Linked DNA regions of Cricetulus griseus. The protein of the gene in region 2 purifies or fractionates together with the protein of the main gene of each other region. This does not show direct contact. Links are inferred from orthologs where the notes say so. Each region holds a gene or a part of one and is shown on either strand. Other genes may lie near its edges.

Evidence for each region.
Region 1: the proteins of Ccnl1 (region 2) and Csnk2a2 purify together in Homo sapiens (affinity purification with mass spectrometry; 4 studies listed by BioGRID and IntAct, with this or other methods). This does not show direct contact. The link is inferred for Cricetulus griseus from reciprocal best matches to the Homo sapiens genes CCNL1 and CSNK2A2.

The regions. Positions count from the first base shown.
Region 1 is NC_048596.1:171,637,634-171,646,299, forward strand, and holds part of Csnk2a2 (casein kinase II subunit alpha'), read right to left. Parts: intron 8,316-8,666; coding exon 8,232-8,315; intron 7,527-8,231; coding exon 7,416-7,526; intron 6,897-7,415; coding exon 6,795-6,896; intron 6,145-6,794; coding exon 6,044-6,144; intron 4,747-6,043; coding exon 4,598-4,746; intron 2,253-4,597; coding exon 2,176-2,252; 3' UTR 2,159-2,175; exon of another isoform or gene 306-2,158; intron 1-305.
Region 2 is NW_023276806.1:86,989,328-86,997,993, reverse strand, and holds the end of Ccnl1 (cyclin-L1), read right to left. Parts: intron 5,802-8,666; coding exon 5,681-5,801; intron 4,796-5,680; coding exon 4,731-4,795; intron 4,491-4,730; exon of another isoform or gene 4,477-4,490; intron 3,025-4,476; coding exon 2,925-3,024; intron 2,834-2,924; coding exon 2,729-2,833; intron 2,649-2,728; coding exon 2,507-2,648; intron 2,286-2,506; coding exon 2,174-2,285; intron 2,082-2,173; coding exon 1,983-2,081; intron 1,056-1,982; coding exon 707-1,055; 3' UTR 270-706; downstream 1-269. UniProt on the Homo sapiens protein: Involved in pre-mRNA splicing. Functions in association with cyclin-dependent kinases (CDKs). Inhibited by the CDK-specific inhibitor CDKN1A/p21. May play a role in the regulation of RNA polymerase II (pol II).

The DNA.
Region 1 (8,666 bases), on a different chromosome or scaffold from region 2:
AACTTAAAAGACAGAGAAGAAACATGGGTGATCAAGGAGATGAGGTTAGAAAACAGGAAAGACATATGGTGATGACACATCCCATGACAACCAAGGGCACATGAGAAGGCCCATGGTAACTCCCAACACTTGAGGTTTGCTACTTGACATGCTAACACAGGGTCAGTAGCATCCATGTCATGTTTCCGATTCTCAGGAAGAACAAAAGTAAACATCAATCTACAGAAGGTGAGATGAAAGGAGGCAGGGTCTGCATGAAAACCTTAACTAGATGTCAAAGTTCTGGCTTTATAAAGGGTCTTAAAGAAGATTTTTAAAACTTTATTTATTGTGTGTGTGTTTACATGCCACAGTGCACGTGTGGAAAGAGGACAACTCATGGGAGTAGGCTCTCTCCTCACCATGTAGATTTTGGGAACTGAATTCTTTGCAGCAAATGCCTTTACCTGCCATGTCACTGGCCCAAGATCTTACTTTTTAACTTATGAACTGAACTCCATACTATCAAGAAGAGTTACATTTGTCTTTTACGTTCACACAGACCAAACGACAAAATAGAATCTGCATTTAGAGATGGACCTGCTACCAATACCAATACAAGTTTATTGGAATTTGGAATGTAAACAGATGTTTCAAACAAACAATCTAACCTTATAAAAATGTATGGCATTATTAAATAGTTAATGAAGAAACCCTAAGTGTGATGTGGTAGATACCCCAAGCATGTTAGGTCCCCAAAGCTGATGCATGGCTCTGCAGCCAAGGAGAAGGGACTAGCTGGCAAACCATGTCAGTGACCAGTCCCCCAAATGAAATCAGCTCTATAAAAAACAAAAACAAAAAACCCCAAACAAAATCTAGCTCTCTGCTAACATGAAGGTTAGCACATAGCTGTGACACTTGCTCCAGGAGCCCCCTTCCTCTCCCAGGCCCTGGCCATCTCTCTCCAGCCAGCTGCAGGAGTCACAGGACAGCCTTGCCCACAAGCTATCGTCTGCATGTCAGATACTTCTTTGCCATTACACTCATGTATGACCTATTAGAGCTGTAAATGCCCATCACCCTGATTGTAGCCAGACCTGTTTGTCACGGGGTGAAAAAGAGGGAAGATGGTAGGTGTGCCTTTTGCATATGTGAGATCTTTCCTGAATACATTCTAATAGAACACTTCCCTCCCTCTTTGACCTGCCGGAAGACTAACGTTCCAGCTGCAGCTATGGCTGTGAACAAAAATAAGTCTTTGTTTTAGGGTGGTACATTGAAGTAGGTGCCCACACAAAGATGTGCTGAGAAATGGTGAAGTTTTCCTTATGGGGGGTGGCGCTAAAAAAAAAAAAAAAAAGAGAGAAAAAAGAAAAAGGAAAAAAGAAAAGAAAAAGCAACAAGATTCAATAGTTAGGCAAATCAATAAAGGTGAGCCCCAAGTTATGCACACAGCATGAAACTTCTAATGAACCTGGGACCTGTTCATGGCATCTCAAGATTTACAGTGCCATCTTCCGACACTAAAGAGGATGTGGTGAGAGTGACTGCAGTTTGCTTCCAAATGAATATACTTAGAAGAAAACTGCAAGAATGAGGTACATTTCCTGGAGAGCTCATGTCATAAAAAAATACATAACACATGAATTTGTAAAAGAGCTTAAAAAAAATACTGTCACTGTTTTAATCTTTTTTTTCTTTTCTTTTTTCTTTTCTTTTTCTTTTTTTTTTTTTTTTTTTTGTAAATGAGGCTGGTGTGTCAGAATAGACTGCTGACTTGCTAAAACTTGAGCCTGAATTCTCACAGAAGAAAACCAGACACCACAATGGAATAGATAGGAAGTCAGATATTCAGAGCTTGTTGACCGAACGGGTTAATTCAACAGTGGTATCCTGTTAAACGCAGGTACGTGTACAACAACTCCGAGCTTCTCATCTCCCATGCATTCCAAAGGGAGAGTCCCCTCAGATCCTGAACTATGTGCACTGCCACACTGTACAGCGCAGCTCCCTGCAGACTAGTACTGGGGAGTTTCTTGCTTTTGACAGGCTTTAGGTCTTTACTCTTCTTTGCCTTTAGAAGGAATGATTAGAATTTCTTTTTATCACACTGCAGTTTCCTTCAAGTTTTTGTTTGGTTGGTTGGTTTTATTGGCAAGCATCAGTGCCGCATTACCGTCGATTCCCCAGGCTTCATCGTGCTGCGCTGAGGCCACTGGAAAGCACGGTGTTCTCTGCACAAGGCTGGGACTGCTCCTTCACCACAGGGTCTGCAAGAGAGGAGGAGCACAGGTCTCCATGTCAGCACCAGCACTGAGGGTGTAGTGGGAATGCCATGGCTAACCTGCCTTTCCTCTTCTATATGCACCAAGACAGACACTTACATGGAACTCAGGCCACACAAGAACCAGGCACCAAGACATGACCAGGAAAGAACTCCTTTTCTTTTTGCCCTCAAGGCAGGGAATAGAACCCAGTCTCACACATGCTAGGCAATCAACTAAGTCACATCCTCAACTCCTTCTGAAAATTTTTTTTGTTGCTCAGACTAGCACTGAACTCTCATTCTTCTTTAGCCTTAGCCTCCAGCATAGGCCAGGGTGGCCCTCATGCCCACTGAGGAATTATATAGAGTTGATTTTTTTCTACTTCCTTAGAATACAGACCCTACTGCTAAAAAGCAGAGACCCCAACTCACCACTGTTCAAAATTCACAATATTTCTGGTGATTTCTGAGTACCAACATCATACCTAGCATGTCATAAACAAGGGTGAATAAAAAAGCCATTGACAACTGGGAGGTGGTGGCGCAGGCCTTTAGTTCCAGCACTTGGGAGGCAGAGGCAGGCGGATCTACAAGAACTAGTTTCAGGACAGCCTCCGAAGCCATAGAGAAACCCTGTCTGGGACACGCCCCCCCCCCAAGAAAAAAGAAAACAAACAAACAAAACCCCAGCCATTTTAAGCAGCAGTGAAATATGGAGTTTATTTAGGGAAGTAAACAAACAATGATTATCTAAAATATCTATCAGGTTGTTTTTATTATTATTCCTGAGGCAGGGCCTAACTATATACCTTAGATGGTCTTAAATTTGCAATCCTTACACATTTGCCTCATGAGTTTACACCAGTACTGCTTTTTATTTTGGTTTTGTTTGTTTGCTAGCTTGCTTGCTTGTTTTTTGAGACAGGGTTTCTCTGTGTAGCCTAGGCTATCATGGAACTCACTCTGTAGTTCAGGCTGGACAATTTGAACTCAGGGATCCACTTGCCTCTGCCTTCCCAATCCTGGAATTAAAGGTATGCATCACCACCGCCTGGCTATTTTGTTTGTTTGTTTGTTGTTGTTGTTGTTTTTAAGATACAGTCTTACTATGTATCCCAAGCTGGCCTTAGACTCACAAAGATCTGACTAACTTTGCCTCTGAGTACTTGGTTTAAAGGAGTGGACCACCACTCAGGGCAACACCAATATCCTAAAGTGGCCTATCTTGAAGGATAAAAGCAGCTTTCTGTGTTGGAAATTAGAAAGCAAACAATGGAATGTCAGCTGTTTAGGGTCCAGAAGGCTAAATGAGAAGACCCTTTACATTTTTTTGTTGCCTTAAACTTCTGCCTAAAGTTTAAGATCATGGCAATAAGTCCTTCCTATCTGTTAATATTACTGGGAATTAGTAAACTCCAAAGGAAAAAGTGGTCAAACAACAGACAAAAACTTTAAGGAACAGAAATGAAGATAAGTCACATTCAACTTCTTCCATGACTAGACTAAGCCACCCTCTTCTGTCAATGACAAGGGTGATGTGTCTAGGAGACTTTCAGTGGGAAGAACACTACATGGACCCAAAACACAAGCAAGTGCAGAAGGAACACATATGCTCCGAGAGATGTCACAGGTCAGAATCCAGCTGCCATACCTGCTACCTGCTTACCTGCAATTCCTCTTGCTTACATGTTGCTTCCTTTAGAATCACATTAAAAAAGCAATGATCTTACTACTTTGTTTTGTTTTTCAAGACAGGGTTTCTCTGTGTAGCCCTGGCTGTCCCGGAACTCACTCTGTAGACCAGTCTGGCCTCAAAATCACAGAGATCTGCCTGCCTCTGCCTCCTGAGTGCTGGGATTAAAGGTGTGTGCTGCCACCACCACCCGACCTGATCTTACTACTTTTAACTAAATATTATTATTATTATTATTATTATTATTATTATTATTAATTGGTTCAAATTAGAAACAAGCTTGTTTCATATGTCAATCCCTTCTCCCTTTCCCTCACCCCCATCCCTCCTCCTCCACCCCCCCTAAATTTTTTTTAAAAGAGAAAAAATAATCTTTGATTAGGTTTTTGCACTTGAAAAAAAAATCTTAGATACCTTTCAGTATACAAGCCCAGGGTGATGACAGTGGGTTATACAGCCTGGCCTCAGAGGTACTACTAACATTGAACAGCAAACACCTTCGAGAACTAATCAAATCACCCATAAAATGGCCTCAGTGGTCCAGTAAAATGAATAAAATTTAAAGCCAAATTCCTAGGCTGATCTAAATCCAAATACCTAGTTTTCTGTCTGACCCCAAAGATAAAGGTGACATCTTTTGCCATTTAATAACTCACAGAAGTACGGGTGCTCCATGGCCTCTTTGGCAGTCAGTCTCTGTTGATGGTCGTACCGCAGGAGCTTGTCAAGAAGATCTAGGGCCTCAGGACTGACAAGGTGTCTGTTTTCACTATGGATAAAGTTTTCCCAGCGCTTCCGTGAATGTCTAAAAAACAAAAACAAACAAAGTGAATATTAGTATTCTGAGACTAAACAACCAGATAAACCCTCCTTTAATAGACATAACATAAACAAACCCTTAGAATACTGCACTTCGTGCAACAGCTGAAGCTCATTCTTATCGGTGCCCACTTCAAATGGGCTAGTATACACACACTGTCACCCACAGTTATAACCATGACATAAAACTGCTCAATTATTAGATGAGCAGAATCTATTGAAAATATCTATATCTGAGGGAGAATTGTTCAATCTTTCTGGATTACTCTTATGCCTGTCTTTTAATCAACCGTGAGTAAGGCCTGGCGGTGACTAAGTGATGCACTGGTCAGTAGATATATTTAGAAGGTTGGCTTTAGAAACAAGCAATTTCATAAAATAATGCCTGAAGACCACTAGCCAAACATTTACTTTTAACACACTGCACTGAGGCTGGACATGGTGGCACACACCTATAATTGAGCACTCAGGTTGAGGCCAGGAGGCTACACAGCAAACAAATAAGACCATCCCCACCCCAAAATACCTAAGTCACGAAACTAGGTACTGTACCTGAAAATTTAGCATGCCTTAATATTTATTATAAAACTTCAGAAAATAAGCTATTCACTTATTTGAAGAAGCCTCGTTTTCTAAGATTTGCCATCAAAATAAGCATATGCAGGGCTAGGGAGATGGCTCAGTAGTTAAGAGCACTGGCTGCTTTCCCAGTGAACCCAGGTTCAGTTCCCAGCACCCACATGGTAGCTATTAACTATCTGTAACTCTACTTCCAGAGGACCCCTTTTCTGGCTAAGCATACACACACAGTACATTATGTGCACACAGGTAAAACAGGCTTACATATAAAACAAGAAGAAATAATTTCTTTTGAAAAAGCACAAGCTTTGACCAAATAAACATTTTTTCTATAACATTATGACTTTATTTTCCATTTGCTTCCACAGGATCAAACTCTTGATTCTCCTGCTGCAGCCTCCCAAGTGTTGTGATTAGAAACATGCATATCTACACAAGGCTTATTTTCCATTTTCTACTGATAAATAGGAGTCGTACCATTTGGGAGGCCAAGGCAGGTAGATCCCGGTGAGTTCAAAACTAGCCCTGATCTACATAGCCACTGAGACCCTGGTTCATTCAATAAATAAGTAAATAAATATCAATATTGAAGTTAGAAAAGGGAAACTGGATGTTGTCTAACTTTACCACTTCTGAAGTAGAGCAAAGTGCTTCCTTCTTTCCTTTCTCCTTCTCTCCCTCCCTCCCTCTCCTTTCTTACTTACTGTCCCAAGATATCATTGAAGTGTGGATCTAGGTCTATGTGGTACTTCTTCAGATATCCATACAGCTCATCTGTCCCCAGAACCTTGGCAATTCGAACAAGCTGAAACACAGAACAAAACTGACCCAACCACCAAGCACAGTGCTTTCTGTGAGCTTTTGTGGACACTGTGCTAGGCCTGGGAATCAGGAAATCCCATGCCACTCAAATCCCAAATGACTTAACAGAGACCCGAGTCTAGGATAAACAGAGACTTAAGAACACAACACTCACATGAATGCAAGTTTCTAAACTGCTTTAAAAAAAAAAAAAAAAATTATTATGTATATAGTGTTCAGCCTGCATATATCCCTGCAGGCCAGAAGAGGGCACCAGATCTCATAACCGATGGTTGTGAGCCACCATGTGGTTGCTGGAAATTGAACTCAGGACCTCTGGAAGATCAGTCAGTGCTCTTAACCTCTGAGCCATCTCTCCAGCCCCCTAAACTGCTTTTAAAGGGTTGATATAACTTAGATGCTAACATCTTTGGGGACACTGATCAAATAACTATAATGTGATTTTGTTAGATAAAGAAGTGCCTTACTTCTTAGACCCATCTTGAAAGTTCACTAGGCAGCATTGTCTGTCTCGGCATGCTTGGGGCCCTCATGCTCACTCATACAATTCTGAACAATCCTTTAGCTTACACAGTCCCCAGAGGCTATTTCCCTAACATTCATGACAAACAAGCAAGGGATGAATCTGCTCACCTGGTCATAGTTGTCCTGCCCATGGAAGAATGGCTCCTTTCGGAATATCATGCTCGCTAACATGCAGCCCAAGCTCCACATGTCTAAGCTGTAATCATACATCTGAATGCAGGAAGGATGATCCATCAGTCAAGGATAGTTAGACACTCATTGATTAAGTTTCTCATATCCATCTGACCTCTAGCTCTGACTTTTGACATCTGACCTCTAGCTCTGACTTTTGAGAGAGCCTTATACACATTAGGCAAACATCTACTACTAAGTTCCATCCTCAGCCTCTCTGCAATTACTCTGTAACTAAGTCACCGCACCCCGCCACCCCAAAAAGCCACCAAAAGACTCAGCTGGTAAAGGCTGTCAAGCCTACTAAACTAAGTTTAGTAACAAGAACCAATATGGTGGAGAGAACAAACACCTGCAAGTTGTCTTCCGACCTTCCCACATGGGCTGTGGCACATATACATACATGCATAAAAATAATTAATTTTTTAATGTTGCTGAGTAAAACCTTTAGAGTAGAATAACTGGGTTTTGAATGCATCCAAAGTGACCACACAGCAACCAGGAAAATTCCTAAGGAAATATAAAAATAGCTCTGCGCAGCTTCACTAATAAGTTCACCTGATAGTCCACAAGGAGCTCTGGTCCCTTGAAGTACCTCGAGGCCACTCGAACATTGTACTCCTGGGCAGGATGATAGAACTCCGCCAGACCCCAATCAATCAGTCGGAGCTATGAGAAAGACAAAGACCCAACAGAATGGGTAAGGTGCACTTTGAGATGCCATTGCCTATGACGAGGCCACACTGCATCTCTACAACAGGTATTCGGCCACACACAGTGTACCCAGGAAAAAGTTTACTTCAGAAACTGCAGATGAGGTCATTTATGGAGCACAGTACTTGGAATATATCTGAGTTTTTTCCCTTTTAAGTTATACTGTTTTTTTTTTTTTTTTTTTAATTTTTTTCTGGTCTCCATGCTACTTACATGTGGAACACATGCCCCCACCATTCATAGCTCTTAACATAAGCTCCAGGCACTAATGAAGGGCTTACGTGTGTGACCACGTAAGTCACACCCTTAGAGTGCTGCTCTAGTTGGTCACTAAGCTAACCCTGTCTATGACAACCAGAGTTGGAAACACCCAAGTGTATTTTTTTTAGGGCTAGTCTGACTGGTCTAATGCTCACGAAGAATCAAAGCAGAGACCACTGATGTAGTTTCTTCCTGAGGCCCTTTGAACACTAAAACCAAAATAAAACTAGTGACCAAAGTCAAGGTCTCTGTGTACTTCCTGGAGACTAGAGAAGTCAAAGTAATGCAGTCTACTTAAGAAATCAGTGTGGTCTACATACACCACAATGCTATTGGACAATGTTTAGGTTTTTCCTAAACCTTCAGCAAAGATTTGGTGCTGCCTGGCTGGATTGGTACCTTTTTTTGTTGGTGATCTATCATGACATTGTGAGGTTTCACATCCCTGTGCATGATTCCCTTGCTGTGGCAGTAATCCAGAGCCTAGTAGGTAAGAAAGCACAGAGAAAAGTAAGCAAACCCTCTACCACCCACAACGCAAACACATTTTTATTATTTGTGACACTTTAACTTGAACAGTCTCAAAAAAGGACAGCTTACTGCCTTTAAGGAGAGAAACAAAAAGATGCTCTCCGTGGACACTACAGCTGGCAGCCAGTGGAAAGGGGGCTGTCAATGATCATGCTGAAGGTTGCTTTAAAAAGAAGGGATGAGAGGCCAGAGTGTGGGACCTCAGAATCCATGTGGGCATGAAGAATGACACCTTAACGTATCTTAAAACAAGGCACACTTATGCTATGTGGGCTATGAGTTTTCCAGATAAGAAGCATTTAC
Region 2 (8,666 bases):
TCCATATAGGTCTTAGCTTTATGGTGTGATTTTTCACATTACAAATAACTAAGATTTAAAATTATCTTCTGATACATTAAGCTCAAATCAGGTTTAGCATTTTAGTGGTTCAGTAGCATATCAGGCCACTCCTATTTGCTTTGCCTCTATACACAATGACCATTACATTCTGCGAGACCTTATCCCAAACACCTTTCAGAAATCAGCACAAAGCCATCTTACCACTACAATCTTGCTTCTTAGCAATTTAAATAAGATATTTGAAGCCATTTAGAAAAACAAGATTTGCATTTTATTTCCTTGTAAAAATCTTTACACATGCAGACAAACCAGTGTTAAGAAAGTATTCACCATCATTTAAACAAATAACCACTTAAATAGAACAGTGTCTGCAAGTTTTATCTGTATAAAAATAAGATACATTTTTACAGAATTCACGCTCCAGTTCTTGTAGCAATAAACAATACACAACTCTAATAAAGTACAATTGAACCTGACCATGGTTTTCAATTAGATACTGCTAGGGCATTTTAATGTGCAAAAAACCTTAACATAGTTCTTTTCCAAAGAAAATGTCCTCAGTGTTTCTAGAGACCTAGACAATTTTAATAAATCAATTCCTAATCAGTTTGCTTCATGTTTTGATTGAGTCCATACATCACACTGCACAACCACAAACCAATGATGCAGTGTCAGAGGAAGAAAGTCAACGCCTATGCCTGCCATGTCCTGAGCGACTGCCACCATGGTGCTTGCTTTTATGGGATCTCTCAAAGGAGCGAGATCTTTCACGCCTGTCTCTGTGATGTCCCCTTTCATGCCTGTGTTTCTTGGCAACATCTGAGTGATCCCGAGACTTGCTCTGAGATCGAGACCGAGATTTTTTCCTTTTATGACCATGTCTATTTGAGCTTTTTAAATCTTCTCTGGTATGTTTGGCCTTAAGGTGAGGAGAACCATGATTATGATGTCTTCGAGGGCTTTCACTGTGACTGCGGGACCTGCTTCTTGATCTTGAGCTGTATGTTCCAGATCGACTTCGCCTATTATTGTAACTTAGACAATAAAAGTTTCAAGTTTAGGTTTGGTTTCTAGTGAGAACAGATTAATAACTATTGTTCATTAGCAAGCTCAAAACAATCAGCTATGAGCAATGAAAAGCTGAACTGACAATGCTCCTCAGTCTCCCCACCCTGACCCCTTTCAACTGAAGTTTTACTTTAGACAAAACATCCTATGACTGTAGTCCAGTGAAGGGGGTCACTGATGTGTCCTAGAACTAGGTAGATGCTTTTTTTACTGAGTATCTCCCACATGATCAAAGTACCACTGAACCACCAGAAGAAAACTGCAACCCAGTTGCAAAGCTGACTGGAAGTCTTGGACTTTTCAATACATTAATGTATTAAAAATATAAAGAATGTTTTCACATAAATAGCTTTACATACATATACCCCATAGCATTTTCTTAATACTTTTCAAAAAAAATGAGGGGTAGAACAAACAAAATAATGCCTAAAATGCATCAGTGAAATGGCTCATCAGATAAAAGGGGCCTGCCATCAAGCCCAAAGACCAGGGTTTGATTTAGGACCCATATAGTATCAGTAGAGAACTGACTTTTACAAAATTTCCTGTAACTTCTGTATATAACACTTAGTCACACTTAAAAACACACAACTAAGTTCCACACACATCCAAAAGTGTGTCTCTAAATTTATTTCTCTTTACATTAAGCCTAATCCCGACAACATGCTTGTAATCCTAGCAAACAGGCTCTCTCTCTCTCTCTCTCTCTCTCTCTCTCTCTCTCTCTCTCTCTCTCCTCTCTCCCTCTCACACACACACACACACACACACACACACACACACACACACCTGCTATACCAACAAAAAACCCAAATACTTCCTCCTAGCCTAAAGCTCTCGTTCACTTTTCAAAGGTCTTAAGCCCGCTCCACCACACAGGACCCATTACTCACTGTCTTCTTGGGGTGTGTGATCTAGAGCGCGATCTGGTTCTTGACCTTGATCTACTAGCACTTCTGCTGTTCCTGCTTCTCTTGCTGTCTTTTCTTACACTTAAAGAAAATGCAGGCAGTGTTTTTTACATTGTTTTAGGATATGCACAAAGATTTAGCAATAAATACCCAAGCCCTTGAAGCACACTTACCCATTATAAGGGCTTTTCGAAGCCTGTTGTCTATCCTCGGGTTCTTTTTTGACTGTCTTCACATTAATGGAGATTGGCGATTTTTCTTCAGCTTTTACTTCTCTTGGTGAGGCTTTTAATAGACAAGGACAAAAGGGCAAGATTTAGCAGAGAACAAGTTTCCAATACAACCTAAAAGTACTCCTTCCACTTCTGACCCTTAGGCTGACTTGTCCCAAAACACCCATTAACAATTTCTTAATTGATCTCTAAGCAACTGACCAACGCCAAGTGATCTAGCAACATACACTTCTTCCTATGGTTATAGTTTATTCAATTATGATTGTAACTTACATGGTTTAGAAGCTGGAGAAAATCCACCAAGGGTTGAAAGAGCTGGAGTTCCATCGGGATTCAATCCCTTTGCTTTTAACTTGGCTTCCTGTAAGGCTACTTTTCTTTTTTCTACTTCTTTTTCCAGCAATTCATAGTTAGGCTGTTGGATGAAAATCAAGTTAGTATTCCCTTTAGATTCTTGGAAATGACATCAGCACCAAACTGAGTAACCGAAATTACCTTTTTCCTGGTATAAAGTCTAAGGGTCTCTATGCAAATTTCCTGAATCTCCTCTTCTGTGGTACCAAAAAGAAGAAACCAATGTGGCCGAGTAGGCAATGGAATCTAAATGATTAAAAAAAGAATGGTTCAAGTTTACGCTCTTCTAAGAAGTAACAAAACTCTTGGAATTCACTTTGTAAAACCCAGCACTTACCTGAAGTGCTCTAGCTGCAAGGTAGATACAAGCACATGCTATAGTCTCTGGTTGAAAGCGAACGAAGACATTGGTTCGAAGACTGTCATTCATGTAATTCCTGAAAAACATTTCAGCTATAAGCTTAGTCCATAAGCAAATCAATTCTTCTGAAGTGCACATAAAACTGGAGACTCAATCTACTTCATTCTTTTTTCTTCTCCTTATGTTCACATCTTTAAATTGTACCATGATAACAATTTCTAACCCTCCCCCCATAGCACTTGTAAACAATTCCATATTAGCATATAGATCTACCCCTAAAATCCTTTCAACATATTGTTATAAAAGGCAATGATTTTGAAGTCAATTCTGATATAATGAGTTTAAGAGTTTACCACTCCAACAATACTTCAAGCCATTAGTTACTGACCATCTCTCCTTTATCCATAATAAAAAGCAGTGTCAACCAAGTTCTTTCAAAAAAAAAAAAAATTCAATACCAGGAACAGGGGTAAAAAGGTATTTTTAGTAAGAACTCACCAAGTTACTCTTACAGTTAGAAGGGGGTAAAAAAAACTTCAAAAAAAAAAAAATCAAGGTAGAAAAGTAAACAATAAATACACATCATAATGGCCTTGTCAACATAACTTTTTGCAATTAAGCATAAACAAAAGCAATGATCTAACTAAATAAACTTCTAGTGAAACTTTCCTATGAATTTTTTTAACTAAATAAAAAACTTTGTAATTTGCTGAAAAGCCTGAGCTGGAAATTAAATGGATTATTTCTAAAATCCTTACACTCGTTAAAAACTTTAATTTTTTTTTTTTTTTTGCTGCACAGAACACATTAAAAAGTCATGCATTTTATAAAGCAATGTGGCTTTTCTAATGTTACCAGTTATCTACCAAGTCCAAGAAAGGCATGGCAGTCATAAAAAAAAAAAAAAAAAAAAAAAAACACATTCTGGAGAAGTCCAGAATTATTTAATGCTTGTTTATCAACAGTCTTATGAATCACTTATGACTAAACCACAATTTCCTTGCTTAACCTCTCTGTATCTCAAAGGCCCAACTTCAAAAACATTTAAATAACATCAACTTCTTTAAAATTAAAATGCTTCTTATCACTGCCTGCAATGGTTCTATAGCTGGAGTAACCTAAAATGGCAACAGGTATCCATTTAAAGCTACAAACTTAAGGTAGCCTCCTTTGGTAGAATGGATGCTATACACTTCAAGTAGAAATTTAATTGAACCCAATTTAAAAAAAAAAAAAAAAAAAACAGTTCATAATGGCTGGACAACAATCTATCAAAAATGAAATATTCATTTTGATAGTTACAGGTATACATTAAATACATAGGCATGATGCATAGTTACTTCTAGAAGCAAATATACAAATCCTTTTGACACCCCGACAGAACTAGAAGATGCTGCCAGATGGATATGGACCACTTCAGTGAATCTCGGATGAGAGCTTGCACTGGATTGGCTGGAGAGCAGGCTAGCCAATCAGGCCATCCTGAGGTCATGGGCTGAAGTTCAGAGGGCAGAGTTCTATGACTTACCATCATGGACTACCCTTTAATTAAAGAGTAGAAAAAAGAACAAAGTTAAATTGAGTTCTCCATTAAAAATAATTAGTCAAGCCAAGAAAACAGGAAGCAGAAATAAGCATTATTTACCTTTTGGTTAAAAAATAACAAAAACAAAATGCCCCAAAACAAACTTATTTCATTATTTTGGAAAGAAAAAAATGAAACTTACTTTATTTCTGCTTCTGTTTTCCTGACTAAAGAAGAAATGTAAAAAAGCAACTTACCAGGCAGTTTGAACCAGGGTTTGGTTACGTTCACATTCTAAGACTTGTAAATACATTACAATGATCTGAGGACAAGGAAGAAAAAAACCATTTAGTGTATTGGTGGTTCTTTCACAGCAGAGTTCAATGAATAAAGCATCTAAAGTGTTACAGTTTTAATTACTATAAAATTTCAAATATAGGCCAACATATAACACTCAGTGTTAACTGCTCAATTCTATAAAAATGTACTTATAGATGTGGTTAATAACTCTGTTTTCTAACATTCATCAAAAAAGGGCAGAATTTCTACTCTGAGTATACACAATGGCCACAGCACATTTCTAGAACACCCAGCACTGCAGTAATTAATTTCTGCAGTAAAGCTTAGCATACTAAAGTTTCTTAAATAAAAGCTACATATAACTCAATGATACAATGTTGCCTTGCATTTGGTTCCCAGGAAGACACACCAAAAGCATAACTACTTTAGTTCATGTCAAAAGTGTTTCTGGACTCAGATTATCATCACTTTATGATATTAGAAAAATATAACTTAAAGATACCAGCCAGTGTCACCCAGTTAAAAGCAGGGCTAGCTATCTCCAATAGTTGAATTTTTCCAACTACTGTTCAGAAGGGTAATATGAAAGCCAAAAGAGAAAGCTTTTTATTAATGGTTTACAGTGAGCAGCAACCATTTTCAACACTTTAACGTGCCAGTTTCTACACAATTCATTCCTTACATGAGGAAGTCACCACATGATCTTGTTAGGTAGAAAAACAAGAATTTAACCACAAATATTCACAATCACACAATGACAAATAATAAAGCCTGTTTTGAGTCCTATTTTACTGACAAACATCAACATCCAAAACAAAGCTTTTGAAAACTCTCCACACAAACAAGTAAAAATTTTAGGAAAAGCCCTAATACTTACGAAATGTAATTTCTGCATTCTATTACTCACCTTATGGGGATGCTTGACATGAACACAAAATCCCAACTCCTTTAGCACCCTTCTTTCTGCCTTGATAACTTGATTTTTGGTGTTAATGTAGTTCTGATCAAGGATCAGAGGGCTTGGAGTCCTATAGTTTGTAAGAAATAAAATCAAAACTGTTTTGCACATCCAAAACCTTTTATTTGTGGCATCTCCATTTTCCCTTCCAACCAACTATTGGCAACAGAAACCAGCTTTTTAAACTCCTGCTAACAAGTTAAAGCATTAATCTTATGCTGTCCAAGTTATTGCTAATTATATGCAACTAGACAAAGCTCCTAAAACTAACACAATTTAAAAAAGTACTTACATATTCTTAGGTCTGACTTCCTCTTCGACTTACGCACTTAACTTCAGTAATACACATTACTGGCAATCAGCCTCCCAAAAACTTCCCAATGACAACAACCAATGTGATCCCATTTACTATAAAGTTCTAATATGAACAAAAATTTAAAAAATTTGAGTAAATCCTTTGCTAAATTTACAGTCAAATTGGGGTGGGGGGAGAGAGTTAATTCTGTTTTCTCTTTTTCAAAAACACCCCAAATATACAAAGTATTTGTTTGCTTAATTAGCCACCCACCCCTGGCCAAAAGAGAAAACAAAAAACAAAAAAAAATCCAAATTAGCTCAATTGTCAAATGATATATATATATATATATATACATATATATATATATATATATTTTAAATGGTGTGTGTTAAGAGTAAATTGGGTTAACTCCATCAATGTAGCTCCTCTGAGATGTAAGGTCACAGAGAGGGAACTGAAACCAGACCACATTTTGAGCAGGATTTCCCCAAAGGTGCTTTTCTTTTCATGAGAGTTTAGAAAGGACACTTAGCCAACTCATATAAAAAGTCATCTCACGTACATCATGTAAGTTTGTTTCTTTTTTAAAAAATACAATCTTGCTATGGAGTTCATCCTGCTCCCACCCATTGGAGCTGGTCATGTTAGAGGTAAGTGCAATGTGGCTTCTCTTTACCATGCTTTTTGATACATTCTTACCTCTAACTAGCAAGATGTACCCATTTCTCTTAAGGACTACACAATTAATAAATGGGTAAAATAACATCTAAATGCTTTCTCAAATACTCAATTCATTTTCAATCAAGTTGCAAGTTTTACGTTCTAGACAGAATACACTGCCTGAATACATCAATATACAACCTGCTCAAAAACAGTCTATTTAAGCATAACCACTTAAAGGTAATAAAACAATCTAATTTGTAATGTTGAGCCAGGAGTAGTAGCTCACACTCATTAAGCCCAGCACTATACAGGGGTAGGAGCAGAGGAATGTGGAGATAGACTTCAAGGACTTCCTCCACTACCATCAGGTGTGTTGAGGATAGCAGACTATCAGAGTTTAAAAAAAAAAAAAGGTATTTTATATTTTCCTTATTTTCACTTAAAAAGCAAAATAGTTACTGTTATTCTGTAACTTTGTGTTAAACCACGAATAGTTGCGAATAGTTGGCAGAAGTAACATCATCACGAACAGTTTCAAAGTGATGAAAAACTGTTTCAAGTTCATTTGCTACTACATCTTCAAAGTCTGAGAAATTTTAAGGCAATTAAGTGGGAGAATGGCCAGTTTTGAATCAGTTTTATCAGGACAAATAGCTGCAAACTGCACTTTAGGAAAAAAGTCAAATTTAACTCAAATGGGAACTAATGTATGTATGAAAACATACTCCAAAGTGACACTATGTAAGGGTTTATGATTTTGACGTTTTATATGCACTTTTTTTTTTTTTGAGATAAGGTTTCTCTGTGGCTTTGGAGGCTGTCCTGGAACTAGCTCTTGTAGACCAGGCTGGTCTCGAATTGCCAGAGACTGGCCTGCCTTTGCCTCCCAAGTGCTGGGATTAAAGGTGTGCACCACCACTACTCTGCACGTTACAAGAAATTTTGAAGACAATTCCACTACAGACTGATTAGAAGGTTTTGTCCTTCAACTGGTATTAGGAGCCAAAGAGGCTCCAGTTTTTATCTGTACACAGCTTAGCTCTTAACCCCTGAAATCCAGACAGCAAACAGCACTGTTAAAATCCCTATACAAATAGTTCACAAAAGCCAAGTTCTGTCTCACTTTTCTTCATGCATTAAAGTTTATACTATATCTTAATAAGAAAACTGCTTTATAGTTATTTTTAAATGGCAATAAATTTGTGATTAAGCAGGCGAACAACTTTTTTCAATTGTGGCTACCACCTGGTGTTGAATTTAAGGATTTATCACTAATTCTGCTTAAACAAGTATCTGAGATTTACTACTTTGAAATAAGCACATCAGAATTCCAAAGAACATGTAAAAGCATAGGCTTTGTTTAATCCCAGGAGTGAAGTGGTTAAGGAACAAACAAGAGTCATAAATTTCAGGCCACCCCAAACTACCACAGTGAGATCTTGAATCTTAAATTCCATGTCTCACCATTTTAAATATAGACCAAGGAAGTAAATCCATTACCTTCTACAACTCAACCATCTAAGTTTCTTGTTCAGTCTTGCCACTACCAATTTTCCAAGTCAGCTTTGTAAATGCATCTTTTATCTTCCTTTTGTTTAGAATTGATTTACTTCATAAAACAAGGCAAGTTCAATGAGTACAAAATTAACAACTACCTTAACAGAGCTTTATACCATGACAAAACAGCAAGCAAAGATTCTGAAAAAGCATTTAAGCAAAAAGCTTTTTATATTAACAAAGTAACCAATCAGAAGTATTTTTAGAAATACATTTTAAGTAGAATCAAGGCCTGGTATTATTTCCTCCCAATCAACTAAACATCCTTGATCAACACTAGATGAAGAGGGAACACTTAAAGCTGGGGGCATTAAGTCTCAACTATTCAGAACTCAGGAATATCTATCAACATCACTCCCAACAACCAAACTCCACCTCTGAAGGTTCTTTATTACCAGACTTTACTCATTAACCTAT